Drosophila melanogaster: one gene and its partners. The protein of the gene in region 4 interacts with the protein of the main gene of each other region in a pairwise test. Each region holds a gene or a part of one and is shown on either strand. Other genes may lie near its edges. The genes, in order: PICK1, CG12496, CG32086 and CG4570.

Region 1 (9,217 bases), on a different chromosome or scaffold from region 4:
TCGACGAAATCGACGCCATCGGTGGCGAGCGTTCGGAGGGCGACGGATCCAGCTCTGGTTCGTCCGTAAAAGAGCGCGTCCTCACGCAACTGCTCACCGAACTGGATGGCGTGGAGGCACTGCAAAATGTCACCATAGTCGCTGCCACCAATCGTCCAGATATGATCGACAAGGCACTGCTTCGTCCAGGCCGAATTGATCGAATTCTCTACGTGGGACTACCGCAATGTGAAGCACGTAGAGAGATCTTAAAGATCAAACTGCGTGCCATGCCGATATCAAACGATGTGGACATGGAGAAGTTGGTGCAGCTGACGGAGGGATATTCCGGTGCAGAAATACAAGCCGTATGCCATGAGGCTGCCCTGAGAGCCCTGGAGCAAAGCTTCGAAGCGGAGGATGTCAAGTGGACGGACTTCGAGCACGCCTTGAAGGCGGTGCCTCCGCGGACTTCTCCAGAGTTGTTGAAACTCTACGAAGATTACCTCAAACGGAAGTAGATTAAACAACTCAGGGGAACCTTGACTTTAGAACTATTTTAAGATTAATTGTGAAGAATCCGCAAAACAGTGACGATAAGATTACCGAAAGCAAATCTGCTTAATTTGTTTAAACAAATTACCATGTTATTAGCTCTCCAAAATCTGTTCACTCGATCAGCCTTCAAATCGGAGTTATGTATGTAGTTATGTAAGTTATGTAAAGTAGAACCGATTAGAGGGTCGACTTTGGTGTTTAGACAGTTCTGAAATTCATATTTAGTGCCTGCAGATTAGACTACAAAGATAAGATGGCTATAGCAGAACTATCGGTGATAACTTGAATGCTCTATTTTTAACCTCTAAATTCAAAGAGTATCATTCTCTCGATTGTGAATATCAAGAGCAAACGTTGAGCTTTCAACAAATTTCCAATTAATGCGTCACTTAATTGTCAATAAATTGATGGGGAACAATCCAAGAATCTTAATTTTTGTTGCTGTGCGATAAATTTGCTTACTCGACAATTACCGAAATAAAACTTATTTAAAATTTACAACTTTCACTGCTCCGTGATCTGTAACCAAATCTATAAATTTGTCAAGTTGTAATTATAGAAATTCTCCAAATTAATTGAATGTAGATAAATGTATATTTCACGGTCTTTTGAGGTCATACTCGTACAGTAGCGGCCATAAATATATGAAGTGTTCAATTTTGTGAATAACACCAAAATCAATATTAAGTTATGTTTTTTAGTGGCCCTAGCATTAACAGTTAACGGTCATTGAACTTGGGCGCATGATTTAAACATTTGTATGTATGTGTGTAAATATATTAAACAATATACGAATTTTATGGCCCAACAGTAGCTTAAATTAATTGTTTTACGAATTTGCAGTGCTTTGGATATAAGTTCATATGTGCATATCTTTTCCAACAACTTTTGAAATATTGAATGTAAAATATATTTTATATAGCGTTTTTCTTCTAAAAATAATACTATTTGTTGATAGTTTATTTTTTAAGTATATTAAATATATATTTTTTTGTGATAATATAGTTGATTGTATAGTTGTAGTAATCGTTGGAAATAATTTTATATGCCTGTCATATTGAATGTTGCTGTTTTCTTATGATTTTTTTTGAACCCCTTAAAATTCACCTGATTCTGGTTTTCCGGTTGTTGTGGGTGAATACTGCTGGCCACCACTGTAGCCGCTTTGGCGGAGAGCGATGGGCTACCAGGCGCTCTTGATTCGCGCGATCAGTTGCCGGCTGGCGTTCGTCGCGTTGGTTACGACACTTATCAATTGGCGAAACAACTGGCGCCGGATTGGAGCTTGGAGTTTCGAGTCTCCATGCGAACAGCCCACCTGGTATCGCAATTTACGACATGAAGAGCTGGCTGAAGATCTCGCTGCTGCTGTGCACGTTTGGCTTTTTCCGGGAGTTTCGACCTTCGGAGCCGTACGTCACAGAGTACCTAGCCTCGGATTATGGCAACCTGACGACGGATCAAATCTATCAGGATGTGTATCCCTTCGGCACGTACTCGGTGCTGGCCCAGCTGGTAATTGTGTTCCTCATCACAGATCTGGTGAGGTACAAACCGGTTATCGTGCTATCGGCACTGGCTGGCATTACCCTGTTCTCCATGCTTATCTGGACGGAAACCGTGGGAATGCTGCAGGTGGCCCAAGTGTTTTTTGGCACCTTTACGGCCGCTGAGGTGGCCTACTACACGTACATGTACGCCAAGGTCAACAAGGAGCAGTATCAGGTAGTCACGGGCCACACGCGAGCTGCCATCTTGAGCGGCAAGTTCCTCGGCGGCCTGTTTGCCCAGATTTTGGTGTCCACCGATAGCATGGATTACCGGCAGCTGCACTACCTCTCGCTGGCCACGCAGCTAATCTCCCTGGCCGTGTCCCTGTTCCTGCCCAGTGTGCCGCGTAGCCTCTACTTCTACGCGGGTTCCGAGAAGATTACCATTGCCGACGGAGAAGAGACCTCACCAAAGTTCTCCTTTGCCAACGCATGCCGCCTGCTGTGGTACCACCTCGTTAGTTCCTACTCCAATCCCGTCGTGCTGCAGTGGAGCATATGGTGGGCATTGGCCACCTGTGGTCAAGTTCAAGTAAGTTGGCCGTTTATTGCAAGAAGTTAAGTGTGTAATAAACTAATTATGTTAAATCCTCTAGGTGATCTCCTACATCCAGTTCCTGTGGAAAGAGGTGGCACCGAATAAGCTCAGTGTTTACAATGGCGGAGTGGAGGCCGTGGCCACGCTGCTGGGTGCTATTGGAGCCATTCTGGCGGGCCTGCTGAACTCCAATAAGCGACGGGGATCGTATATGATGGGCATATCCATCTGTGCCGCTGCCCTGGGCGCTCTGCTCATCTATGCCGCCAAGACGCAGTTGATCTGGGTGGCCTACGTGAACTATGTGCTTTTCTGCACCGTATTCTTCTTCATCATCACGGTGGCGGGTGCCGTGGTGGCCGAGAATCTGGTGGAGGACAGTTTCGGCTTGATCTTCGGTATCAATACGTTGGTGGGTCTGATCCTGCAGACTATTCTGACCGTTGCGGTTGTGGAGCGAGTTGGATTCGCTCTGGAGCCGCGGGATCAGTACGTGGTTTACGGTAGCTACTTTGTGGTCTTGGGTGGAATATCCATAATTGGGTCTATCTGCGTGAAACTGTTTTGCAGGACTAACAAGTCGAGTGTGGAAAATGTGGTTTCTTTAACATAAGATAATATAGGATTTTACACAAATCAAAACAGGACGAAATGTGCAAGTTTGTAAATACAGGACTTCTTATTTACTATCTTATTTATTCAAACAACATAGTATATAAGAAATTCCATCAATTAAACAAACTAGTACAAAGGTAAAAAGTTAAATCAGTTGTTGAGCAAAGAATTTGCTTTCCATAAAGTTAAACTTTACAGAAATAAAACATAAATGAAAGTCTAAGCTACTATTAAATTGAAAGGCTTTTAATATTTTTTGATATCTACACCAAATACTGAAACATTTAATATTTATCTAACACATTACTTAATATTTGTACTAAGTAGCCTATTGCAGTAGCAGGTCCATCTCCTCCGCATTCGAGGACATGAGATCGCGCTCCAAACTGGTGGTGGCTGCAGTCGCCTGGTTCAAGAACAAGTCGAAATCGTAGCCATCATTTTGGGCAGCAATGGAGTCCTTTTGGTTGCTAATGGTCTGCGGATTGGAGAGCAGATCCACATCGTACAGGCCCAGCTCCTTGAGCAACGTTTCGTTCTCGCTGGCGGATTGTAAGGTGGACGAATCAACGGACGCCTTGGCCGCTTCCACATTTATAATTGCCGCCGGCTGTTCGACAGCCTCGAAACCGCAATCGACTTGCGAAGGAGTGGAATGCGGATGATTGTTGGCCTCGATTTCATCATCGTCCAGCTCCTGCGGCTTCAGGGTACTCGACTTGTACTGAAAGTCCGTCTCCTTGAAGTCCACTTCGATGGGAAAGAGCGGTGGCAGCGAGTCTAGTCGATCCACCAAACTCCTATGAAGTTCGGCCAAACTTTCGAGCAGGCTTCGCAGCTGCTTGTTCAGATCCATGGCATGTTTGCATTCCAGCAGCTCCATCTTCTCGAGAACATCGGTGCGGAGTTTGGCGAACTTGCTGCGTGCATCCTGGCGACATCGCAGTATCAAACGGTACTCATAGTTGCCCGTTTCGACGCGATAAAGTGGCTCCTGCAGGGCAGCAAAGCCATGTTCCTCATCGTCCATCTCCTTGACCTTCAAGCAGTACGAAAGATATGTGAACTTGGCATCCGCATAGCGACGCACCGTGAGCTTTGTGTCCGGAATGGCTTTATTCAGATACGTTCCCAGATCGGCCAGCACTGGCTTTATCTGTTTGATGATGCCCAAGCCATCCTTCTCCAAGGTGCGATGGAACTCGCCAAACGTTCGAAACGCCTCCGATGCCCGCTGTTGCGGTTCATGGACCGATATTTGGGTGAAGCAATCCCCAAAGGATTTATATGTCTGCAGAAGATCGTAGTAGGCCTTGAGCATCCGGCGAGCATGCTCTACGAGTCCTTTGTACATCAGTTCAGTGCCCTCGAGCTCCTCCAGTCGCTTGACCAGCGAATCATTGCACAGAATGGCGCGGGATAGACCCAGCGTATCCGCCGTATTGCTCGACAAATTGTCCACAATCCGATGCTTCAGCTTCTTGAGGATGATATCCAGTGTCTTGCCCTGTTCGGGATCGGCGTGCAGCTTGTTGTAATGGATAACCACCTCGTCGGTGGCCGTCTGGATCATCTTGGCCACCTCCACTTTCGTCTTGCCCTTCACGCTCACCGAATTCACAGCCAACAGTTCATCTCCTGATTGCAGGGATCCCTCACGAGCAGCGGGTGTTCCATCGAAGATCTAGAGTTTACAAGATGTGACATTTATAGCATTGCATTTTTTGGAAAGCTATTGTTTACAGTTTGTAAATCATACTTGTGTCAAAACGTAAACATTTTTATAAAACCAAGCAAATAGTACTCATAACTTTAAGTTTCAAAATTATCGTTTAAGATTAGTCCTTCGCAACTGAAACCGATTTGGTTAGCCAAATTATGACCATCACCAACTGGTTTAATTGGTCCGTAAAGGATTTAAGCAATGAGTCCCATGCGAGACCCAAGTTGATTCCGGGATTCGACCAGTTGGATAAGAGGCTGCAGGCGGCGCTTCAGGAGCGGGACGTGCAAAAGCATCAGCGCAAGCGTACACAGGCGGGTGGTGGCCAAAGCCAGGCAAAGCCCAAAAAGCTCAAGACGACCAGAAAACAGACACCAAGGGTATGCAAATTCCAGAAGGTTTACACTGAGAAACGCAAGAAGCTAAAACGAGAGGCCAACATGCAAAGTAATGCGTTTCAGTTCCGGAGCAGACCTGTGCCCGATTTCGAGCGATCTCATCGTCGTTTGGAAAGGCGCAAGCTGTACCTGAACTCTCTGCAAACGGTGACGAAGCCCCGATGCCCTGCCACGCTGGCCACGTCAATGGTCGCTTTAAACAAGCGCCTAAAGAAGCAAAGGCAGAGCCGAAAGACATCCGACTTTGTGCCCCGAATCAATCCAGGCTCTTCTATGGACTACCTCAACCGGCAGCCCTTTACGCCGCTTGTCAAGTCCTCCTTTACCCATCCAAAACCTTTTCATCTCCATACGTCGGAGCGTGCTCTGCGCCGCCAAGTGTATGACGAGAGGAAAAGGATACGGATGGATCGGCGTTTGGAGCAGCAGACCATCGATTGGTTTGCACGGGAAAGAAGCGAGTACTTTAAGCTACGCAAAATGACAAATTTCAAGGCTACGCCGAATCCCTGGAAGCAAACAAGGGTCACCGCTAGAAAAGATTCTCAGGCAGCCTAGAAATGAGATTGTAAATTAAATTTGAAACAAGCTGAATATGGCAGCAAAAAGATCTTTGTGAGAGTTTATGAGTTCATGATTTTCAGACTTACCTGCACGATATACAGACATGGACACATGGGTGCTCCACCCCCAATGCTGATGCCAATCAGGTTGCTCTGATCCTTTGTAATGACGACAGCATTCGTGCTGACAGTCATGCCCCTGCATAAAGGTTGGTAAGAAGTTAAGATATTGAAATATAGTTTGAAGCGTGATCTACGCGTGCTACATGATTTGAAGTATATATGGTTATGTGCTGGTGATTCCATATCAGTTTTCCATACGTACTCACTTCGATTGGTGCGATTTTCTAATTAGCCATGTTACCAGTTCTAGCAAGGCCATTGGATTATTATCAAGTTTGGCTAGGGCTGTATGGGGAAAACTGTTGATCGGGACAGCTTATTCTAAGGCATCGTGATACTAACGCTTTCGAAGGATGGGACTTGGAAAGCCAAAGGACACCTCGAATTCAATATAGTTTGTATACTAGCTAGCCTAAGTATAAGCATCTAAGGCTCTACAAAGGAAATTCACATTTGTCCTTTTTCGGTGGAATTAATAAACTAAATAAACAACAATCTTGTTAGTTCTAGTTCTGTAGTTCTTACTATACAAAAAATGGATATAGTACTGTGTTCGCTCTTTAAAAAGTAAATAATTAAAAAAAAAACAGCAACTGAATCAAAATTAAATTTTTAATAGTTAAATAAAGAAGTGTATATGCTACTATTAATATAAATACACCAATTTATGAATTTAAAAGAATAAAATCAATAAAAAACCAAGAGTAAGCTAATTTGGTAGAAACTACAGGATAAAGACTATAAAAACCAGAACTTAGAAAACAGAGCTGCCACAGGAAATAGTATGGGAACGATTCCGGGTCAACGGAGTTGACTTACAGACGGTCTAACTCATACTTCTGCCTACTGGCGGACTCGATGCCGAACCTGTCCCCGGATGCGGAATCGCAGGAGAATCCCGCCGGGGAGCAGAGCATAACGGTGGCCTCGTTGGGAGCGACGGAACCGGAGGCATGCTCTCGCTGCTCCGTGCGTTCCTTGGGCTGCCGGACAGCCTGAGCACCATCCCCATCCAACTGGATGAGCAGCGGTTCTGGCCTGATTCCAACAATATGTTTCAGTTTGGTGGCAATTATTGATTTTTAACAGACACTTTTCGGCACATCGCAACAGATTGTTGTGCGTAAATAGAGCTGGGCGTAGGTGTTGCAGCAATTTATTGCTTTCAATGGCCACTTACATCTTATCCTCTTCGAAAAAGAAGTCATCTTCCGTGTCCGTCAGCATTTTGCGTTATTAGAAAATAAATATTTGTTTATTTTGGCCACTTGAAGCTCCGCCAACTGTCATCGGCGATAGGTAACTGATTTGAAAACTATCGCATCGCGTTGCGAATGGCAAACTCCATTAGTAAACTTGAACATTCCCACGGAGTAACCATGACCACTTGTTGCCTTGGAAACGCTGAGGATAAACGTAAACAAAAGATGATGGACTGGGCCGAAGAACTCAAGATGACCATAAGAAAGGTAAGTAACCCTGTTTAAATGGATGCAAATTGAAGTTTCGATTTATTTGCCACCCTAGACGACGGCCAGGAAGGGTCGGCGCTCCAAGAGTCGCGATGTTCTGAAGGAGGAGGATGTCCAGGCGGCTGGGGGCTCCAAGGACATTTCCATCGACATTACGCTGAATGTCCAGGCGGGCACCCCACCGACCACCTCGGACACGGCCACCTCGTCCACATACAACAATGAATTCGAGTCACATCGACCACCCATTCGTCGCATTTCAGGTGGCTGGGCGGATTCTGGACTCAAAGGATTAAAGTGGGTATGATTAGGCTCGAATTAGGCACATTACTGATTGCTCTATATCTTTTTAGGTCCAAGAAAAACTCCTTTGATGAGTGAGTACAAGTTTATCACAATAACTTCACTTTCCACCGACTGTTATAATGATAAAATTCATTTTAGTGAGCGCTTTAAACAAACAAAGTCGGCTACAAATTCCATACCAACGGATGACATTCCCGTCATCCCAGACATGGATGATGTCAAGGACGAAATCATGCTCAATGAGATTGTAGAACCGCCAACGTAAGCAGAAGCTGCTATATTTCTCTTCACTACGATAATAAGTTGTAATTTGTAGTATTGGCACCTCACGATCTGCTGTTTTGAAGGAGGCCAATTCCGATTTGCTTTCCCAGTACGCCTTTTCAGCTGTGGATGGCTTTGATCTCTCAATCCTCACCGATTGCCTGGTTCCACAGGAGAGCCTCAACGAGAAGGACGATCTCTGGCAGTGGGACAAGCTGTTCACCGAGGTCACGGCTGAAATCCATTCGGATAAAGTGCCCAATATGGGCATGAAAATAGGACCCGATGTGATTCCACCCACACAATATACTTAGTATGATTTAGCCCACAATATCTGTGCAATACAAATGCTCAATAAGTTAAGCGAATACAAAAACATTTCTTGCCTTAAATGATCACAAAATATATACACTACAGAGATACTCAATTAAATTGTAAATTTTAATCTCTATAACCCTATTGGATGGCTCTGCCGACTCCATCGAAAGCCTTTTCCTTGTGATCCGCTGCATTGGCACGGGATTCGTAGTTGCATATGGTTACGCCATGGTAATGAGCTTCTGTGAACTCTCCTCGAAGACCTTTGAATAGTGACTTGGTTTTAGTTGGGAACACAGATAAAACATAGATTGTTGTGAGCTTACCTATATAGTAAATGCGTGTTATGTCTTCGCCAAAATTGCTGGGAAAGTAGAGGGAGAGATGGTGCACGGAGGAGAAGGTGACCACTTTGGGTGAGTACTCGATTTCTCCGCGGGCATCGCGGGTCAGCTGGAACTCCTGGTCGGGCTTTGCTCTGGCATCATCAAAGGTCATCCTGGGTCGGTTCTTGAAGCTGAAAAATAAGATATATGATGAATATAGTAATATTAAAGCAGCCTTGACTTTTGTTCCTTACATTTTGACCATGTTTGGATGGGAGTCATCATTGGCCCCACTTATGATGATGCCCTTGAGCTTGATGTTGCCGGTGAAGGGAATGTTGAAGAGGAGCTCTTCATCCGCATCGCTCTCCACGTACTTGGACAGATCCTGGCGCTTCTCGTACGGCTTAAAGACACTTTTTCCCTGGCCATCCGTCTCCTCGTTCAGGCACTCCACATTGTCCAGATCGATTTTGGTGTACAA
Region 2 (6,942 bases), on a different chromosome or scaffold from region 4:
CATATCTTATGTAAATGAATCGAGAGCGATAAATTATATTTAGGATTTTGTTATCTAAGGCGACATGGGTGCATTGCTCAAAAACATGTAATTTAAGTGCACACTACATGAGTCAGTCACTTGAGATCGTTCCCCGCCTCCTAAAATAGTCCCTTAGTGGGAGACCACAGATAAGGTCCTCGCCGCTCAAGATAGGCAGATGTGCCCGAGCGTGGGACCTCGATAAGGCGGGGACTATTTACTTAGGCCTCTGCGTAGGCCATTTACTTTAAGATGCGATTCTCATGTCACCTATTTAAACCAAAGATATTTCCAAATAAAATCAGTTTCTTACAAAAACTCAACGAGTAAAGTCTTCTTATTTGGGATTTTACAGTAGGGCTCCTGCGGAACAGCGACAGGTACTGGCATGGTTATGAGTATAGGTAAAGGATACTATCCATACCGCACTCAAATCGAGTTACAGTGCCAAAAAGTGTGTGCGAGGGCGTCAACGTGCCAACAAGTGTCATGTGCCGAAGGATTAGAGATGACGTGTGTGCCAAAAGTCGGAGCATGGAAACATAGCTAGATTTTTCACGGATGATCTAGCAGAACACTGCAGTTTCCATAATTTGATTTCGAAACATGGACATCTGCAAGGGTGCCTACGATTTTTTTTTAATAGGATACTAATATGTGCAAAACGGTTTCTGGTTGGATTACTCTAAGCTCTAAAGCTCGCAGACAAAAGCGAAAATCGGGGGTTGATTTCGTTTCGATGACTTTAAAAAGTTCATTTGCTGTAAAATATGATTTTGAAATGGATTTAAATTATGATAAGCGAGTGTCCGCAAAATGTGTTCTCTTTAAAAGCGGTCACAATGAATATTTAATAACATATCGTCATATAGTTCGATGGGAAAATAGCCAATTGAGCAGCACAGCGGACGCAGAGTCCTGAGTCCTCGGAAACAAGGAGTGGACCAGCTGTTGGCTGCCTCTGACTTCTTCTTTTCTTCTTGATTGTAGATCCCGGGGCGTGCCATTGTACCTGTCAGGCATTCAATTATTCCCAGTTCCCAACCTGCATCGCCGTTGTTTGTTTTGGTCGCCTGGAAAAGCAAAGCAAATCGCTTGGTCAAGCAACTGTGTAAATATATGTTGTACGTATCGGCAGGTCAAAATGCAATCGGCACGAGCTGGGATATTGCGTAGGTGACGAAGGTCACCGCAGATGTTTCGCATTCATCAGAAAACTCGATGCGATGCTATGGCACAACAAAAATGATATTTGTTCGTATCTCGAAAATAGTTCAGAAACCAACTATAAACCTAACATTTAAAGAGTAGATTCCAATGGATACATGAGAAAACATTTCTAGACTATGAAGATAGTCTAGTCTTTTTCAAATATCACCATTTTGAAATCAATACAATCCCATATCCCTATATTGGGCAGTACGCATGGAAGTAGCCAAAGTTACTCAAAAAAGCGACATTAATGATGATAAGCTGATATATAAAGTTTTCCCCGTTTCAAAAGAAAAGAAAAGTGTACTCCATTGTTTTTGATTTAATGCTTTTATTTTGAAAAAATAATTATTTGGGTAACTTAAAGTAGCAATAAATATTCATATTTGTTTAAAATTAAATAATGAAAAAAAAGGTATATTCGAAAACTACATAACAGCAGCAAAAAAAAAAATGGTTATATTAGTAATTGGAATAAATAGTGATTAAGGTGGCCTAAGAAATTATGTACAGTAATTGAAAGATGATTAGTTTACGACTTAGGAACTAGTTAAGCGTCATAGTTAAGCGTTTTCCCCCCGTTTGTCAGCGTTGCTCGCTTTCTCGTCTCCATCTTCATCTCCATCTCGCATTTAGTTTCTCTTCTCATTTTTGTGGCTTTCCGAGGATCTGTTTGAAATTACCTCTGCTCAGACATATATAGACGAGGGCAGGGCCAATCCCACCTCGAAGTAATTGCGCTCGTCGACCTTGTAGCGCTTAATGGGGGACTCCTTGGCGACGATCTCCTTGCGGGTCCTCTTCAGGGCCTTGACTGGAGTCTCCAGGCAGAAGGTGTTGTCGCAGGGGGCAGACTTGGGGGCCACTGGAGTGGCCAGTTGGACAAGCAAGTTGTGAGGAATCTTGGCCAGGGGCGATGCCGGTTCCGGAGTGGGCATCAGGTTGTGCATGGGCAGGGGAACCAGGCCAAAGCTCAGATCCGAGGCCGGATCGTCTCCAGGTGCGTAGGATGGCGACAGCACCTCCTGGGGGCAGTTCGACTCCATTTGCTGCTTGACCAAGGTGCGTCTGCGCAGATTGAAGGTGGACCTTCTCGGCTTCTTCTTGCTGCTGGCGTTCGCCTTGCAGGCGGAATCCAAGATGGCATCGATTAGGCGATCCAAGGTCTGATCACCCATCTGCGTGGAGGCGGGCTGCGGTGTGCTTGGACGCACTTCCACCTTGGGGGTGGGTGGCTCTGGCACTGCCGTCTCCTGCAACTCCGGCTCCAAGGTGGCCACAAAGTCCTCGTCCAGTCTACGCTGCTTGAGTTTGTTAACTCCTGCACCCGAGCCTACAATATAGCGCGGCTGGCCCAGAAAGGGATCCAACGGAGCCAGGCCCCTCAGCGCCAAGTGCTGACCACTGGGCAGTCCGTTGGGCGAGTAGTCCTCGGCAAAACGTGGCAATGTGGTGGCGTATCGCACACTCTGTACCCTTTGGGGCGCCTGACTGCGCACCACCGCCTCCGGGGTGACATTCCGGATATCGCTCAGCGGCGCCAGGACCAGGGGACTGTTGCGCAGCCGGGTAATGGGCACTGGCGTGGAGGTGTAGCCCACGGTGTCAGGCACGTTCTCCTTGTTGGCAATGGTGGCCCTCCGCTGACGGCGCTGCCTCCTCTGCAGCCTCCTCCTCTGCGGCTGGTTGGCATCCTGATCGTGCACGGGAATCTCGTTCAGGCGCTGCGCCGATGCCGTCCACTTCAGCATGTTGTGTGTGGTTCTGTTTCTGCTGCTCCTGGTGCACAAAAAAAAAAGATGTACTTCTAGACTCTGCTAGTCTTCTGCTCTCGACCGCTCTCGCTGACAAACTGAAGCGGTACGGGGAGCGGGCTGCGTTTTATACCCGCTCGGCGCTCAGGGGTTAATGGCTAGGGGTTACGGGGCTAGGGGTTGTTGCGCAAGAGGCACCCCGGCGGGCAGAAGGACACTCGCTCTCTCCGGCGTTCTCTCCTTGGATGAAAAGACTCTCTTTGGCCAACGGATGTGTGTGGTAGCAAATTGTCTTTGGATCTCGAGGAACTTGAGCAACAAGCTCGAGGATATCAGCAGCTTAGCTTAGAATATGAAAGTATGATCTCTATGCCAACGAGATCTGATATTTTGATGGAGGTATTGGAGGTATTCGTCCTTTCCCACAGTTCGCAGTACCGGCCGAGAATCACCCACTCCAATCCAGGCACTCATCCACAGCACCACCACACGAAAATGACATCTAGATGTCTATCGGCCAGCGCTTGGTTATTAAATTTGCTTTCATTCCCCTCAAGGAAGTCTGCTTCCTTTCGCCCTTGTCTCCCCCTCATTTGAATGGACATTTAGAGCAGCAACAGGCTGGAAAATAGTGAACGGAAAAGGGAGAAGGGAAGTCAGGTTGGCCGGCTAATTAGCCGATGCCAAGTCCAACTTCCTGGCCGACAGCTCCTCGTCATTTTAGCCACTTGTCGTAGCGCGGTATCAGTATTAATTGCGGCTCTTTAGCGGCCGCAAATGCAATTTATATACTCGGCGGCTTTAATTGAAAATGTTTGCCACTTCCGGAAGGAAGCATTAGAAAAACGTTACAAACTCTGGGAAAAGTCCTGTGCAAAGCGTCAGTTGCTCACCCAACAGGGGAAAAGTTTGTACACAGTATGCATTATCAAATTATCAACTTTTTAATAAGTGTTCTTTCTACAAATAGATGGGCCTCATGCAATGCAAATTCACAACTTGTATGGATTTAACTTTGAAATGTAAATGTAAAAGGAAATGGTTCCCATAACCTTTGTAGTGATCTATATTTTAAAGCACAGCCGCTGTCCTCCATATGAATATGAAATATGGAACCAATAAGTAGATTATATTTCCGATGACAAGATCAAAGATAACTGCCCCCATATGTGGCTCTTGACCAGCTGTAGATGAAGTGATCATCGAGATCCCTGAGTGATCTTCAAGTGATCATCGACCAGCGATCCTAAGTGACGTTCAAGTGATCGGCGCTCGTCATCTCCTGGACTTGGATCACTCAAAGTGTCCGTGACCGACGTGGCTTGCTATCTGACGTTCTGATCTAGTTCAGCATGTAAAGGCATCTTTGAATGGGTTCTGGTCCCCTGGAGATATCTTTATTTGCGATCGATTGCTGAAAGATTTTCGCTAACGGGGATCGTATATTTCGCACGTTATCCTTTTCGGCTTTTTTGTGGTGAAAGTCGTTTTGTTTCATATGTTTTCATGTGACTATCTTCCGATCGGCTTTCATCCTGGATAGGGACACAAAAAGGGTGCTGGGGTAGTTAATCGATTACCCCGTTCCATCCACTGAAATGGCGAATTTCTCAACTTTTCAACTCTTTTTCAACGTTTACTTTGCGAAATGCGCTCCTGCTTTTGCTTACTTTTTACCTCTTTTCCCTTCGATTTGCCCTCGTTATGTCCCCGAGTCCTTCGATTCTCTTTGTGGCGCTGAGTTATTGCTGTTTACACAGCCGCACAAAAGGATTAAATGGGTTTTTGAGAGAGTTTCCAGCGCTAAGAAAGGATTCCGGCATGTTGATTAATATGATTTAACGAGCATCCTGCCTAACAAGGCGTATCCCGGCTAGTCTTCACCGGCAATTTCCACACAAAATTACCATAATCCTCGCATTTTCTGCGGTTTTTTTGGGACACAACGAAACACAAATGGATAAAGAACCACACGAAAACCTCTCAAATTCAATTTGAATTTTCGGCATTTCGTGTGCGACGATTTTACGCTTAATTAACGAGCCCAAGGACCCTGCCTCAAGGACAGCCCGAAGTCACGATCCAGTCCCGATCGCTGTATGCAAATTGCCCATGCATTTTTTACCGCTCCGCCCGGGCTGCATCTCCCGTCCCTTTCCCCTGCACGCGTGCTCGAGCGAGAGCGCGTCGCCAAGAGCCACTTGACTTTCACTCTCACTCAGCCGTCGTCCCGAGGTCCTGCGCTCCTGAGGTCCTGCGCCGCGGTTCCAGAGGGATTTGCATGCTCGAATGCGAACTCGCGAATCCGCTAGAGATGCGTGCTCACCCCGTTTACCATTAAGATGTGAAGAGTAACTAGGTAGCACCTCCTAAGATTAGGACTTGACGTTAACAGCCCATTGATTGCGATATATGTTTTAAGCTCATATGTTGTAAGTTAGTCGTGTTTACTTGGACAATTGTGTGTGCATTCCAAGTGCTAAGTGCGAGCGACAAGGCTTACTTACCCCTTGAATGTGTGAATTAGCTACTCGAACGTCTCTGGCAGGCTCGATCGCTATTACCCTCCCCTTCGAACGCCTTTGCATATGTGCTTACATGCAGATCGGCCACTTTGGCTGGATCCAACAGATAGGGCTGCTTTATTGTTGCCGCATTTGATTAATGCGCCCGTGTTTGTATTGTTTGCGAAATTTATCGATATTTGATTTGCTGCGCGCCGCCTGAAATGGCATTCAAAGTGCCCAAAGTGTATCAAATGCTTGTCGCGCGGCTTTGTTTGCGTTTTGCATAATGGAGGGAAAGTGTTTGCGAAAGGGGAAAGTTCGCATATTGCCATGCGATGCATTGGGCGGTAGGAATGTAGGAAAGTAGGAAAGTGCCAGTTTGCGACTTCATTAACGCGCTGCGAAAAGGTTGTGGGGATTTCATGCTTTACGACTCTAAGCGGAAACCACAAAAAAGTGAAGCCATTAAATCATAAATGAGCTGAAATGATTAATTGATTTCATAACTTTTACGCTGGCATTTTCGCTGGCGGCAGGGGACTAAAAATGACTGGCACTATATAAAGGATAAATTGCCAAATGGCAATAGCAACACGGGCCCCTGGCAAATATCATGTTTATGCTCATAACTTTCCAACTCAAAAGTCGACCAACTGTCAACTGTCAAATACGAGACAGTTTCGCAAACGGATCCTGGCCATTTGGGGTGGGGGATGCTCTCCTAAGGACGACGACTGAGACTCGAATTGTGACCCTGAAAAAATAAAGAAGAGGCAGCGCAAACTGGAACACACGAAAGGACACCCAAAGGATGCGTCTGAGGCAGACAGCGCAAGACAATGGATGCCATAATGAAGAGCAGATACAGATACAGATACAGATACATATAAAAATACAAGCGCGAGCACGGACGGAGATCCTGATACACAGATACAGATACAGATACGCAACGGGAGATGTCTGCTGCATCCAAGGAGCAGAAAGTAAATTGCAACAAAGGAACGCCAGGGAAAGGATGCGAAGTGGGCAAAAAATCAGAGGCCGGGGCTGAAATTATTGCAAATAATTTAGAGCACATATTGCAGGGATCCGAAAAAAAGGATCCGACTGCCGATCCCTTTTCGGTTTGTTCGATTGTCATTTGCCCACAGCAAAAATCAGCAAGGACTCGCAGGAGCAAACCCAAGAAGTAGGTCTCCCAGCCCTCGAACATAAATTTGCAACAATTAAAAACAAAGTTAATTAAAATTTATGTGCGACAGTTTCTGCACTCTCGAGCAAAAGAAAGTGCGGATCGGGCCCATCCTTTGGCTAATTGCTGGGTGTGTCCTGCGAAATGGAGAGGCATTCTGCGCTTTAACAGTCCACTTAAAAAAAGAGATAGGACACGAAGAAAGCAAGCCGAGCATCGCAAATAAAGATGTTTGGGCGCACATAAAAAATGGGCG
Region 3 (7,056 bases), on a different chromosome or scaffold from region 4:
GAGTGCTATACAAAATATTCTTTATGTATAAAATCCAATAGCTGTCTCATAAAAATCGTATATTATTTCCTACTTTATAGTTGTTATAACATGTAAGTATTAAAGTCAAACGAACTTCTTTTAAACTTAAGGTGTTCGCACCGTTGGTCATATGTTAAAAACATTGAATATAGTTTATATTGACAGCAGCCGTTTTAGAAAATGTTTTTTTTTATTATGATGAACCAAATAGAAGGAACTAAAATAAAATTCATCTGCTCCAAAATCGTGAAATACCATTTCACATTAGCCAACCAAAATTAGACCAAAATTTTAAAACAAGGAGGAATGTATTTTTTTGAAATGTTTATTTTGATGGTGTAAACATGTCCAGCTCAATTTGCTGTTTTCCTTCGGGTCACAATAACTTTAGTCTTGTGGGCATGTGTTGAATTCGTAGCTGAAGCTGCCAATTGAATGGCCAAGGCGATAACGAGGAACACGTAGAGGAACTTCATCTTAAATGATCCTGGAATTTTATGGTGCTTCTCAAATGAAGGTAGAAACTTTTGTGATTAACCAATGTGGAATCATAATCTTTTATACTTTAATTTTTTAATAGTTTTCTTCTTGTTTGCACCTTGTAAGCACATATGGTTAGTAGTCAGTTTAAAATGATTTCCTTATTAAGATAGGAAGTCTCTTAAGTTGGTATAATATTTATTTATCTATTAAAGTTCCAATTATAGTAAAACAGCTGTTTTACACATTAAAGTAACCTAAAAATGAAGTGAGTAGAAGTGGTAATTCAGATGCATTAAAATGTTTCAAATTCAGTTTAGATAATAAATAATTTAATGGACTTTTAAGAATTGAGTATTGCCTGGAAAAATAGAAACTTCTGTGATGTTGCTTCTATTTAAAACGATTATTTATTATTCTTTTTATTTATTATTCTTTAAATTCATAATAAAATAAGAGAAACAGCTGAAGTCCAATTCCTCGACTATCAGATACCTATTACTCAGAGTTTAGCTTGCACAAGTGTCTAGTGGAAAATGAAGTAGAATGTTTTTATTCCGAAAATATATGTAAAGGCAATTTTTTGCAATTTAAAGGCGATGAAACTATTTCTTTAGAAAATTGGCGACCGATAGACTAAATCGGCTATATATTCTGATAAGGCATATGTGTACAATACAATAGGATCGAAAACTTTTTAAGTGTTACCTACTTTTAAACACACATTGCATACCCATTTACTATGCGTTATGAGTTAAGGGTACAAATACTACTTAAAATAATTTTATAGATAAAATGAAAATATTAGGCAAAATTCTTTTAAAAAGAATTTCTTTATTTCAAAAACTACTAGTGCAGCTTAATTTTTCCTGTGGGTCACAATCACGATGGTCTTGTGGCACCTCTTTGGGTTCTTGCACTTCCGCTTGGGAATGCGGGTGTGGCACCAGTTGTTGCCCCTCCAACAAAGCTTTTTGTGAGTGGAAGCGGCCGTTGTTGTTGTTGTGGTCGATGCTGCAGTGGTGGTTGTTGTTGTGGTGGTGGCATCAGTTGTTGTTGTATTACTAGAAGATGAAGCCACCTGGATGGCCAGGGCAATAAGGGCAACCACGAACAGGTATTTCATCTTTGATGTTATTGTTGGTTATGTTGGTTAGCTGGCAAAGCAATTGATATTAGACTTGGCTTAAAAGCGGCGAAGGGCTGTTGTGATCAACTGATGTTGAAGTCACCCCATTTATAGTTCTCCAGTAATTTCCGGATTTAGAAAACTAGTATTAATTTGATTTCCTAACTGATCACAGAAATTTAAATATTTGGTCGTAAGACACCAGCTTTGAAAGTTTAATGCTGTAGCAAATATTTGCTTCACACAAATGACAGCCCAAACTTATGCTATAGTTTATTTTTGTTTATTATATATTTGTTTGTCATGGTAAATTGTCTAAGTATTATGTAGATATGGCCTCTATTTTGTTGTGCATTTCAGTACGAAACTGCGTGACGGATGCCATTTCATTTTGGTCCTTGAACTTAGTCATTAGACTCTGCCAAATAGCTTCGAATTTATCAGTTGTTACGAGACTTCTAAAGATACGTTCGATTTCCGCTTTGGGCCGCAAACAGGTGAAATCACTGTGAGTAAGGCCACGTAAAATGGCCAAATCCGGTGTTATAAGATCCTTGGCAGTTGTTTTATTCCCTTCGAGATTCTGGCTAATTGCTCCCGTATTATCCTTTGACTTGTTTTGAAGATCGGCGCAGAGCAAACGATATGTGGTGTCCAGACAACTAACATCGGATACATTGGTCAAGTTTCCCGTTTTCGGCAGAGAATTCTGAATCGAGAGAAGTCGAAAGAAATCTACATAATTCACCCGCTCCGTGGCACAGCCCTCGTCCACAATCAGCCGAAAATTGGACAAGGCCAGACGGATTTTTTGCGCATCCAGACGGATGTGAAAACTTCTGAAAATTTCCAAGATGCGTGCCAGTGGCAAGTGACCCGTTCCATCCGTGTCACTCCTCTCCAGCACTGAATTTAGTGCGTACTTGTGAAATTCCAGCTGGTTCCTCAAACTATGACGTTTTTTGTTCAAATAGCGTATGGCATCTAGTAGCCGGTTGGTTTTGTAGCAGGGTTCAATATTATTTAGCAGCATCTTCACATCGCCATTGCTGCGCAGAGGAACACCGAAAGTTATGTCGGGCACCGCAAAAGTGTACCTACAGACAGTCTAAAACTATTAATCAAAATCTATATCTATCTATACTTACTTTTTGTTTCGCATTCCGAGGGGTGCCTCGTTTCGATCCATAAAGTCCACTTGCGCCTTGCCAATAACCTTCAGGTGGTTCTCACCTTCCTCCAGACATCGCTTCACTTTCAGTCCAAAATCGCCGTGAGTATGTATATCTCCACAAGGTGATTTTCGATCAAATGGTTGGGCATATCTAAAAAATATTTAAGACGTTCATTAAATATGCACCATTGCATTTGTAGTGACCAATAGCTTGACCTGCGGTTAACCTGCTCCGAAGGAAAGTAGTGATTGTGGCTGATGATGTACTTGTCGTGGAAAGCCTCGTACTCCTTATTAACTTGCTCCGCCGACTTGGCCGGCAATATGACGTCGTAGAGACATTCATTTTGTGATTGACTCGATGGACTTCCGAAGGTTTGGCTTATATTGGTCACGTCTTCCGGTTTGGAGTACGTTTTCTTGACCCCACCCAAAGTGGCCTTTTTGAAGTACATTTCCTCGTAGAACTTCTCCTTGAAGGACATAAAGCGCGACTTTTGCAACTCGCTGGTGAGCAAATCCCGGATGCTGCTGCTGGGTTGAACGGAACCGGCTGGGAACTTCTGGGATTTTTTATTGATCTGCCCGTAATTGCGCCTAACTAGACTCTCAGCCAATTCTTCTGGATTGCTAATACTAAGACAAACTTTTACACCTTCCGCTCCATCTAATCCACTGGTGGACAATCCTGCAGTCGGTATATTTGCATTTCTGTCTATAAAGTGTCCCTTATTGGCCATGTTTATGAGTGTATTTATGTATATAGTGTGGGTTCAAGTGTTTTCAGAGTGCTTATACATATTACTGAGTGATAAAGCAGAACATCTTAAATAAATAAATAATTGTATTTATTGGTCTTGTAAATGAGTATGTTTACATGTCAAATAATTTATGGCTTAGTATTAGTTCAACTTTAGCTAGTCGTCTAGTCTATTGTACATGGTACTAGTACATCATTGCACGTCTCTCTCTGGCCGCGGAGATGGCATCTGTTTTTTCAGTACAGGTGGTGGTTCTTGTGCAGGACAAAGTCCCAGGTATCCTTCCATCGAAGACTGCGAACCTCATTTAAAGTCATTTTTCTCGCACCATAACTGAATGGTATAAACTTTGAGAAAATGCTAAGCACGCCCACCAGCCACAGGATTAGCATGAGGCGATAAAGGCGCACCAGATGGACACCACGTCCGGTGCAGAAGCGCCTGAGCAGATAGTCCAAATGCTCCACGACAAAGCACAATAAAAGTAACTTAAACACAAAGGCTGGCAAGTAATTGTGCAGGAAGAGTGTACGATCCACACAAAAATACGGAATATAGTGCATCACGTAGCCCATAAAAAAGGTGTCACCAGCTAATACGAATCGCTGCCACTCTTGCTCCGAAATATCAAAGCAAAGACGTTGCCGCCGCATCGCGTAGAAGGCGAGTAATCCGGCATAGACAAGTATTCCCATGGTGGCTGTGTACCAGAGTAGTATGTTTCCCAGCAAATAGATCTGCGCACTCGACTGTGAGTCCAACCAATAAGCGATGCCCTTGTCCATTAGCGGCCACTCGTGCGGCATCGAGCTGTACATGTGATTTGGCACTGACTTCGTTTGGAACAGCATCTTGGATTGTAGCTCCAGTAGCTTGGCCCAGAACGAGATGCGCGTCCGCTTTGTGGGTATCATCTCGGCAGTTAGCATCTGGCGCTCTCGCTCCCGATGATCCTCAGCTATAAAGGGTTGTAAATGAGGATAACGTATTTCTTCAAGTATCTCGAAGAGGACTTACTCTGTGTATAGCGGTGCTCCTCAACATTCCAAATGGCATCCTCATGTATTGCCTTTTCACGATCCGCCACCACCTCGTGCTGATTGAAACCCCATTCGGGAAGTTGGCGCCCACTGAACTTCAAGGAGGCTTCTGTGGACACGTGAACGAGGCGGACCTCCGACTTGATGGCATGCCAAATGTCACCTTCGGAATCGCGATTCAGAATCTCCACGCGCCACAACAGTTCACCGGCCATTTTGATCTCGTAATCTATGTAGCAGCTGACTTCTTGGCACTGCGGCGTCATTGCCGCAGCCACATCGTGTGAGTTCAGAGCTCGGCTCGTAATTCCATGGACCAACTGAATAATTTCACCGTGCCGAATGATATCCGGCTCATCACCCACCACCAGGTTCTCCTTTGTTGGTCGCTTAACCAGCCACCAGTTGTTCACATCCTTGAAGGAGTAGCAGGTGACCTGCTGCTGGTGGGAGGAGCCTCTCTTGTCCGGATACCGCACCGGATAGACAGCTGCATGCGAGTGCAGCCAACAGGTGCGTCCGTGGGTGTGTCGTAGTGTGATTTGGGATCCATGAACCACTGCCAATGGCTGTCCTTTTGTGATCGATGCCAATCCTCCATCTAACGAGGCCTGAAACGCGCTAGTCATGATGCTATCATGCGGTCCAGCCCGGTGCAGCGTCTTGAAGTGGATATAGAAGACTCCCAAGTAGACCGCCAATGGAATTCCAACAAAGATTAACAGGCGACTTATGGCATGCATCCATAGCTGGCGATCTTGAAAAAAATGGTTTTATTTTGATTTATTCAATCTCTATTATTATATCGTAAATCGTATTTGTAAATCTCAGAAAAAAAGGTATCTTACCGGTGAGACCGGCGTCGTAGAGCAGTTGCCACAGGTGTCGACACAGCAAATAAAAGGCTAGCCCCAGTGCCAAGAATCCGACGTACTTGACGGTTCCGGCGGCTCCCAAACAGACGGCAGCTGCCGTTCCAGTAAAGAACCATTCCAGGCTGCCCAGGCGACTTCGTTGGAAGCGTAGCAAACAGGCGATGCCCACCGTGGTGGCCAGCAGAAGCATTGATTCCATCAGAACAAAACGGGATTGCGTCAGCAATGAGTTGTCCAGGACCACAAGCAGGCCACCCAAAGCGGATGACCAGCGACTGAGCTTCGCCTCCAGCAAAAGATTGTAAACGGCGGGGGCCAGTAGACTGCCGCACATGGCTGGTAGAAATCGGAACCAGAAGATGGGCATTTCCGGGGAATAGGGCTCTCCAATGCGGGTAAAGGTGTAATTGCCATCGTAACCAGCCAGGCTGACCAGTCCGGCGATCAGCTGTTTGCCCAGCGGTGGATGTTGATCGAAGAAGAAAATGTTTCGCATGTACATGGAAATGTACTTGCCGTAGTGGAGTTCATCGAATCTGTTGGGTAGGAAGTATTTTACTATGAATCTTGAAAATATTATAAAGACATAGGCATAAATCATTTGAGCTATAAATGCAAGACTTAAATGTAATGCAATGAACTTAAATGTAAGACTCTGCTCTCGCAGATTAAATTAATAAACAAAAAATCTAAGACATTGTTATGTGTGTATTTTTTTCATTCAGCGGTGACCCCATTTGCAGGTTTGTTATTGTTTTTCTACTCACACGATGTGCGGCGGCGTTGCCAGCTTGTAAAAACGCGTGCCGAAGGCCAAGAGAAAGAGTGTCCAACTGAAGAGATCGATTCTCAGGTTAACGGTAAATGGCTGCGAACTCGCATTAGCGGTTTTTCTCTCTTCTGCGGATGCTGCGCCAGCGCTGTTCTTGTCGATTTGTTTTTGGCAGGAGAGCGAGCGAGACCGAGACGGCGAAGGCGAGCGTGAGAGGGAGCGCGAACGATCGGAGGTAGGCGAGGGGGAGGCTTGTTTTGGCGTCGCTACCGGCGTTGGCGTCGCAGTCGGGGTCGGCGTTGGCGTCGTGTGCCGGTTAACGCTGCCGCGGAGCGGCGCATTCAAATGACAGTTGACGTCGACGCAGCAATTGAGCATTGTTAAAGCACGAGCGCCGTTACAGCACAGTGGTGAAGGTGAGTTGCTGATTGCTGTGTGTTGTTGCATCGAGTTTGTTGAACGGCTGCGAAAGTGAAGTCTTTCGTTTGACTCGCCGCTCAAATCGCTGCCTGTCCATTGGTGTTGTTGTTGCTGCCTCACTTTGGCCGTCTTGCGGCGCTGTGTAATTGTATTGGTGTAGGTGGCAGACATAACGGCTTCGTAGTTTTTGTTATTTTTTTAAGGTGCGATTTGCTTTGCGGAATTTAGCGGGCATTTCTTCCTCGCATTGTTTTTCTTACCCACTTTCACTGATCAATTAGCATTCGTTAAACATGAGATAATCAAACCAGCGATTAGTTGTTTCACTTTTTGTTATGTAAATTTTTTATTTTGCCACGTTTTCCTGCTAACAAAAAAACTGGT
Region 4 (6,624 bases):
TCCTACCTGGCGCTCCTAATCTTCGTCTTCCTCATTACGGACCTGCTCAGGTATACAGCCCATGCATGAATGCAATCTTTATTGGCCAGCAATAACCCTCCGTTTGCGTTGCAGATACAAGCCCGTGATCATCGCCAATGCCACTACAGGCATCTGCATCTGGGGCACACTGATTTGGACGACCACTTTGAGCGGCCTGCAGGCGGTGGAGGTTTTCTATGGCTTCTACCAGGCGGGCGAGGTGGCCTACTACTCGTACATCTACGCCAAGGTGGACAAACAGTACTATCCCAGGGTGACCTCGCACACCAGGGCAGCCATGTTCGTGGGCAAGCTAGTTGCGGGAATCCTGGCTCAGATGGTCATTGGAATGAGGTGGATGAACTACAAGCAACTGTTTTACATCACCGTCACCTGTTGGTTACCAGTTAGCAAAGTGATTCAATAGCCAGTTAACCAATGTTCCCACTTTCCCACAGCTCAAGTTGCTGCGCTGCTCTGGGCATTCTTTTTGCCAAAGGTGGAGAAGAGTTTGTACTTTCACAATCGAAGCGAGGCCATAGAAGGTGGAACCAAATCGGATGGTGGTAACCTGGAGAAGGGTTCAGAGCAACCCAGTAACGAGGAAGCGAGCCAAGAAAAGAAGATACCAGCGTTGCAGCTCCTTTGGTCCCACTTCCGTAGTGCCTACACTAATCCCTTGGTGATACAATGGAGCTTGTGGTATGCCATCAGTTTGGCTGGATTTCTGCAAATCACCACCTATATGCAGGTGGTATGGAAGTCCTTCGAGAACGAACCAACAGTGAGTGAGTTTCAATAATCAATGGCTTTCTCATCCTTGAGATTTCCCCTGAAGATAGCCTGGAATGGAGCTGTGGACGTGGCCCTGACGCTTCTAAGCGCTGTGTTCGCCCTTCTCGCCGGTTATTTCCATGCTGGACGTCTGAACACCAGGAGCAGCCTGCTCTCGATGGCTCTGCTGTCGGTCCTGGAAGGAGGTTGTGTTTTGCTTTCCTGCTGGACCGATGATATATATCTGTCCTATCTTGGCTATGTGCTGTATGGAGGCCTGTTTGCCTTCACCATAACAGTGGCCAGGTAAGCAGTTCTTGATCCTTTTCCAACAGGTGAAATTTACCAAATCTCGTAATACCTTATAGCTCGGAGTTGGCCAGCAGCTTGGAGGAGGATAGCTTCGCTCTGGTGTTTGGTTTCAACACGTTCGTGGGACTCCTCCTGCAGTGCATCCTCACATTTGTCGTCGTCTCGGAAAAGGCCAATCTGAATTTGAATGTTTTTCAACAGTTTTCCGTCTACGCATTCTATTTTATAGTTATTGGAATAGTCTATTCTATTGCTGTTATATTGCAATATATATGGTCAATTTCGAAGAAACCAAAAGCAATTCAGGAGGCGAATTAACAACATACTCTAATGATGAAAAAGTGTTCATTTATCAAATAAAATTGTTATACATATTTAAAGTTTGTTTAATAAAATAATAATTGGCTTGTATTCTGAAACATTATTACTTTTAAGAAATATTTCCCAAGCTGTTGAAACATCGTTGATATTATATTGTTTTACACTTTATTAAAATGTATATGTTTTTTTATAGTTATAGTTTCAAAAAATGAAGATATTTAATCCTACGCCGCGAATCTAATCAGAGTGTACCATGTACATTATATGGCCACTACAAACTTAATAATATGTCAAATTAAACAAGATCATGAACGTCGTTATTTTCAATACAACATTCAAGAATCAGGGTGCGATTGGAATCCACAGCTTGGCTAGCAGAACTCGGTCTGATCCCCGCCGTTGCGGAGGACCGCTGAGACCCGCCACGTCATCGACTCGTAGAGCATCTCAATTTTGTCCACCATGTCCTGGTCGCTGTGCCAGACGTCGTACAAGACGGCTCGAAACTCGCTGACATTTTTGGGCGCCTGATTCTGAATCCTCGGCTGGATGATGGCCATCAATTGCTCGAGGAGATTGAGGTCATTGCAGACACTGCCCTCCGGTCCCATCAGCGAGTCAAGGAAGATCTCCTTTGGCGGCGTTGATTCGTCGACGAATTTAAGATCGTCCATGTTGAAGATGTTGCGCCAGTCGCGCACGGTCCAATCCTGATGGGCGGTGGCCCAGGCCAACCTCCTTTTTTTCGCCCCCTCACTGAGGCCGAAAGTGCTGGGCTCCTTCGGCTGTGGCGATCCTCTCGGTTGCCGTATGCCTTTGGAGCGAATCTCGCTGATCCTGCGCTGCAAGGTCCTGCGGCTGACCTCTATGCCGTGTCGGGCCAACTCCCGCTGCACATCGATGGAGGTGTAGTGCGGATTGTCGCTCAGCATTTGCTCGACAATTTGCCGGTTCTCCAGGACCTTGGGTCTGCCAACATCGCGCTTCTTTTCCTCCTCCTGCGCAACCGCCACGGGCGCCGCTGTTTTCAGTTTTTGCGGCAACCTCAGCGTGGCAGTCTTCCCCTCGAGCAGCTCACACTCACGAATGCAGCTTATCACGCTCTCCACGTCGCACTCCAGGATCTGGGCTATCTCCTCACAGCTGTTCGAGCCCTTCAGCGCCTTCACAATACTTCGAACTTCGGGAGCGAGAACCATTTCGAATCACTTCTGTACACCTCGAGTTTCACAATACCAATGATGGTAAATCGAATCCTCGATGGGCGTTTTATGCACCTGGCAGGTAAAAGTTTTTGCACCGATTTTGACGATAGTCTGGACCGTAGTTTTATGGCGAGCAAGCTGCAATTGGCGGGATTACGGCGTCATTACAGGTAAATTCAGTTGGCGTCCCTTTTTGTCTTTGGCGGCCATTCCGTTATTCGTCTGCGGCAAGACTGGCAACCCTTGTGTTAAGGGAGGATTTTCGGAATCTCATGATCAGCTGTTCGGGGAAATACCATTACTTTAACTGCAGCGTAGTTTGTTCAAACCTATTATTTCAGGATTATTTCATTCAAAACTATTTAACCCGATGATCAGTTCTGTGTTTTCCAAGTAAGGTTTAATAATATCGATAAATGATGAAAATAATAAGTTCTTAAAGAAATTCTAGTCTTTTTGTTAAAAAGTCATATTTTAATAAAAAGCTGCCTTTCCCGTGTATGATTTAAATAAAATATTACCAAGAGTACGATCTGAAATGCAAAAAACCTGTGTGGGAACCATTTAAGTTTACAACCAATTACCAAGCGCTTGCAATTGTTTTGAACATGCTATTTAATCGTTGATTTCCTTTGATGCTTTGTAGAATTACAAAAATAAATATAAAAACTTGTACATATGTAAGTGTTAGTTACCTCTACTGTAGGAAATGCAATACACCTTTTATCGAAATTTTAAAAATATATATATGCCAGATATTTAGTTTCTTGTCTTTTATGCTCTGTGTATGTTAGTTTCTTGTTTTACGTACACCGTTTTCTGGAGGGCGAGGGCAGTTTGTAAAACTATGCTCAACTTAACATATATACGCAAAGGGTGCACATTCATTTGGAATTGCAAATACCATAAAGATCAAATTTTGAGTTCGCTTAAGCTCGCTAGAGTGGCGCAGCCTTCGAGGCAGCTGATTGAACTGATAGATATTAAAGCACATAATCGGGGGGGAAGGCAACCGAATTAGCCACTTACACTAGGTGGCGATGGGACCGTAGCAGAGGGATCGGAATCGTATAATTAAATAAATAACGCTAGAGTACGCCTAATTGGTTTAGATCCATGTGCTAGGTTTTGATTTGTGTGTGTCCGTTTTTGTTACTCCATCGCTTTTGAGTGTATCTTGTGTGGGAGTGTGGAACGAAAGCTGGAGCTTGGGTAATCGAGAGTGTGGGATGGACTGCCCGTAGTTAGTCATCCAGATCTATATCGGAGTCATCCGAGTCGTAGCCTCCACGTATTGTCTTCTGTGGGCGGTTGATGAATGGTTTGCGTTTCACATCTGGTGGCTGCATCAGATCGCCCTTGTAGTCAATGGCCCCCGAGTGGGCGATGCGCCACTCCAGCATTTCGGTGGCGAAGTCGTCGCAGTTGCCCAGATCGGTGAATCCGACAATGAAGTCCTTGGTCTTGCTGTCCTTCACCAGGGCGATGGTGGGTATCACCTTGATGCGCAGTCGCTGGGTGAGGAATGGAGTCTTTTCGGCATTCACCTTGCAAAACTTGGCCTCCACGTGCTTGGCCGCGAGGATCTTCAGGTGCATGTCCACGATCTTGCAGCGCTCGGTGCTGTCGCGGTAAAAGTGGCAAACAATGTTGGGCGACTTTTTCGACATCTCGAAGAACTCTTTTTCGTCGGCCAGCTCGGTGTAGGTGCCATGACCCTGGAAAAGATTAGCAATTTTGGGGATTAATGAGATTGTTGCGCTAACAAGGTTTTCTTTGAAAGTTAATTTTTACATATATATTTAAGTTTTGAGCTATTTAAGCTGGTAGCCCAATTTGAAAACTAATTTGAATTAATCGAAGCAAGTGTCGCGAATGTCTTAAAAGTCGCATGTTGAATACCATTTGGTCATATACCACTTAGAGAACAATCTCGAAGTATCTTCAATAATTGAGTGTTGTAAGAGATGATCACCTACGTTTCTGAGCCACTCCTGCTTCTTGTTGTTCAGGTCCTTCATTTCGCGGAGCCGCTGCTCCCGCAGGACCTTTAGGTCATCCGAATCGAGGTTGTCCAGGCGGTCGAGCTGCTGGTCCAGCTGCTGCTCGATGGTCTTGGCGGCCGTGAACAGTTGGTTCTCCAGGATGTTGGCCATGTTGTCCTCTTCCAGTTGCTGCTCCTCTGCGTGTCTTGATGTTTCTCCGTTATTTGCACTCTGCGTGTGGTGTGTTCGTGTTGGCGTCAATGGTTGCGCGTGTGTGCGTGTGGATCCGGCACAAATGGAAAGGCGTAGTCATGGAGCCGCAGATGCGTCATGTTTTGTGGAAAATTCAGTTAAGTAAGGCATGTTTTGGGGAAAGCGCAGCGCATTTCGATGGAGGCGCCCACAAATCGATTATTTAGACGGTACTCACCTTTTATTTTCACTTATTTCATTGATTTTACTCCTTAAAAGTTTATTTAGACGTATGGATTCGTGTGACCGTTTGACTTTACATTGGAAAATACAAAAGGCTCCTTAATGTTCAAAATACCATGACAGTATTATTTCCCGTCAGCTGTTTCTTTACGAACCCCTGGCCACACTGCCGCCCTTTGATGGTTATTCCGATAGTGCAATATATTTAGTTGATCAAAGGTGAATTAAAGATGAAGCCAGCCTTGACAACGGTCAATGCCACTGGCAAACACACAGCCTCCGTGATATTCTTCCACGGATCCGGCGACACCGGCCCCAATGTTCTGGAATGGGTGCGCTTCCTTATCGGCCGGAATCTGGAGTACCCGCACATAAAGATAATATATCCCACGGCTCCCAAACAGAAGTACACCCCGCTGGACGGGGAACTATCCAACGTGTGGTTTGACCGCAAGTCCGTGAACATTGCCGCATCGGAAAGCAAGAAGAGCATGTCCCAGTGTTATGATGCGGTCAATCAGCTGATCGACGAGGAGGTGGCCAGCGGCATACCGCTGAACAGGATCGTTGTGGGCGGATTCTCGATGGGCGGAGCCTTGGCTCTGCACACGGGCTACCATTTGAGACGCAGCTTGGCCGGCGTATTCGCACATTCCTCGTTCCTGAACCGCGGCTCCGTTGTCTATGATTCCCTGGCCAACGGCAAAGACGAATCTTTTCCCGAGCTGCGAATGTATCACGGGGAACGCGATACTCTGGTACCTAAGGACTGGGGTCTGGAAACCTTCGAGAACCTAACGAAACTGGGTGTCAAGGGCACATTTCATCCATTGAGGAACACACTGCACGAACTGAAAACTGCCTCCATCACGGATCTGCAGCAATGGATTTATGAAAAACTACCTCCGCTGGAAAACCAAGTACAGAACAAACTCTGAGTGGCAAGTACTTACATATACTTAGGTAAACTTTAATAGTAATTTATTTATTCTTCTATTTCAGTATTTGGCATGAAACCCGTGCATTTTGAAGCACCACAGAGGCAAGTCTTTCCACCTGTCATCTTTTTATACTGCCCTTCTCCGCCATAATGAAAGCATAACTCCTCCTTGGCCGCAATATCCCTTGCTGCGAAAATACCTAAAAAATTACACATGACGAGAGAAGTCGGATCAGAATTAGCAATAAAACTTGCCTATTTTTGGTATGGGACAGTCTATTCGTACAGCTGCTATATGACAGTTCGGTTCGCAGCTGTGGTTCAGGTAGCGTCCGATGTTTCCACGTCTTGATGGATCAACGATGGTCACCTGTTGCTTCTTGTCGCTAGTGTATTCATTAAGCACCAGGATATAGTTCATCAGGCCTAGTTTTTCATTATCATGCAAGCGGCTTCTTGCCTCGGGAACCGTTAAAAGTTCTCCGGCATATTCGCAAATGTATCCTCCTTTTGTAATTTTCGCTGTAGTCCGTAGTCCTTTGGATCCGTACACGGGCGAATCGAATATTTCCAAATGTTTCCTCGGGCCTGAGTACACAAGCCGATTGGAGCACGTGTTTCTACAGCATTT

Evidence for each region.
Region 1: the proteins of CG4570 (region 4) and PICK1 interact in a two-hybrid assay, tested with the Drosophila melanogaster proteins (one large-scale study listed by BioGRID).
Region 2: the proteins of CG4570 (region 4) and CG12496 interact in a two-hybrid assay, tested with the Drosophila melanogaster proteins (one large-scale study listed by BioGRID).
Region 3: the proteins of CG4570 (region 4) and CG32086 interact in a two-hybrid assay, tested with the Drosophila melanogaster proteins (one large-scale study listed by BioGRID).

Annotation. Positions count from the first base shown.
Region 1 is NT_033779.5:12,693,173-12,702,389, reverse strand, and holds PICK1 (protein interacting with C kinase 1), read right to left. Parts: upstream 7,358-9,217; 5' UTR 7,275-7,357; coding exon 7,228-7,274; intron 7,086-7,227; coding exon 6,867-7,085; intron 6,555-6,866; exon of another isoform or gene 6,250-6,554; intron 6,199-6,249; exon of another isoform or gene 6,124-6,198; coding exon 6,012-6,123; intron 5,965-6,011; exon of another isoform or gene 5,920-5,964; coding exon of another isoform or gene 5,119-5,919; exon of another isoform or gene 5,067-5,118; intron 4,925-5,066; coding exon 3,569-4,924; 3' UTR 3,473-3,568; downstream 1-3,472. Other genes in the region: CG5776 (uncharacterized protein), read left to right, coding at 1-500; CG17036 (uncharacterized protein), read left to right, coding at 1,876-2,619, 2,684-3,238; CG5781 (uncharacterized protein), read left to right, coding at 5,119-5,919; IFT43 (intraflagellar transport 43), read left to right, coding at 7,478-7,516, 7,575-7,816, 7,873-7,896, 7,964-8,086, 8,142-8,403; CG6153 (uncharacterized protein), read right to left, coding at 8,546-8,670, 8,734-8,924, 8,988-9,217.
Region 2 is NC_004354.4:2,407,813-2,414,754, forward strand, and holds CG12496 (uncharacterized protein), read right to left. Parts: upstream 3,090-6,942; 5' UTR 2,985-3,089; coding exon 1,923-2,984; 3' UTR 1,553-1,922; downstream 1-1,552.
Region 3 is NT_037436.4:11,580,490-11,587,545, forward strand, and holds CG32086 (uncharacterized protein), read right to left. Parts: upstream 3,576-7,056; 5' UTR 3,545-3,575; coding exon 3,021-3,544; intron 2,956-3,020; coding exon 2,779-2,955; intron 2,728-2,778; coding exon 1,953-2,727; 3' UTR 1,912-1,952; downstream 1-1,911. Other genes in the region: CG43391 (uncharacterized protein), read right to left, coding at 375-497; CG33269 (uncharacterized protein), read right to left, coding at 1,361-1,627; rt (rotated abdomen), read right to left, coding at 3,802-4,523, 4,583-5,362, 5,454-6,016, 6,248-6,843.
Region 4 is NT_033777.3:10,853,021-10,859,644, reverse strand, and holds CG4570 (uncharacterized protein), read right to left. Parts: upstream 2,839-6,624; 5' UTR 2,628-2,838; coding exon 1,800-2,627; 3' UTR 1,579-1,799; downstream 1-1,578. Other genes in the region: CG14694 (uncharacterized protein), read left to right, coding at 1-50, 115-416, 480-805, 860-1,101, 1,164-1,425; CG4511 (uncharacterized protein), read right to left, coding at 3,878-4,351, 4,613-4,789; CG6567 (uncharacterized protein), read left to right, coding at 5,284-5,991; CG4565 (uncharacterized protein), read right to left, coding at 6,039-6,193, 6,249-6,624.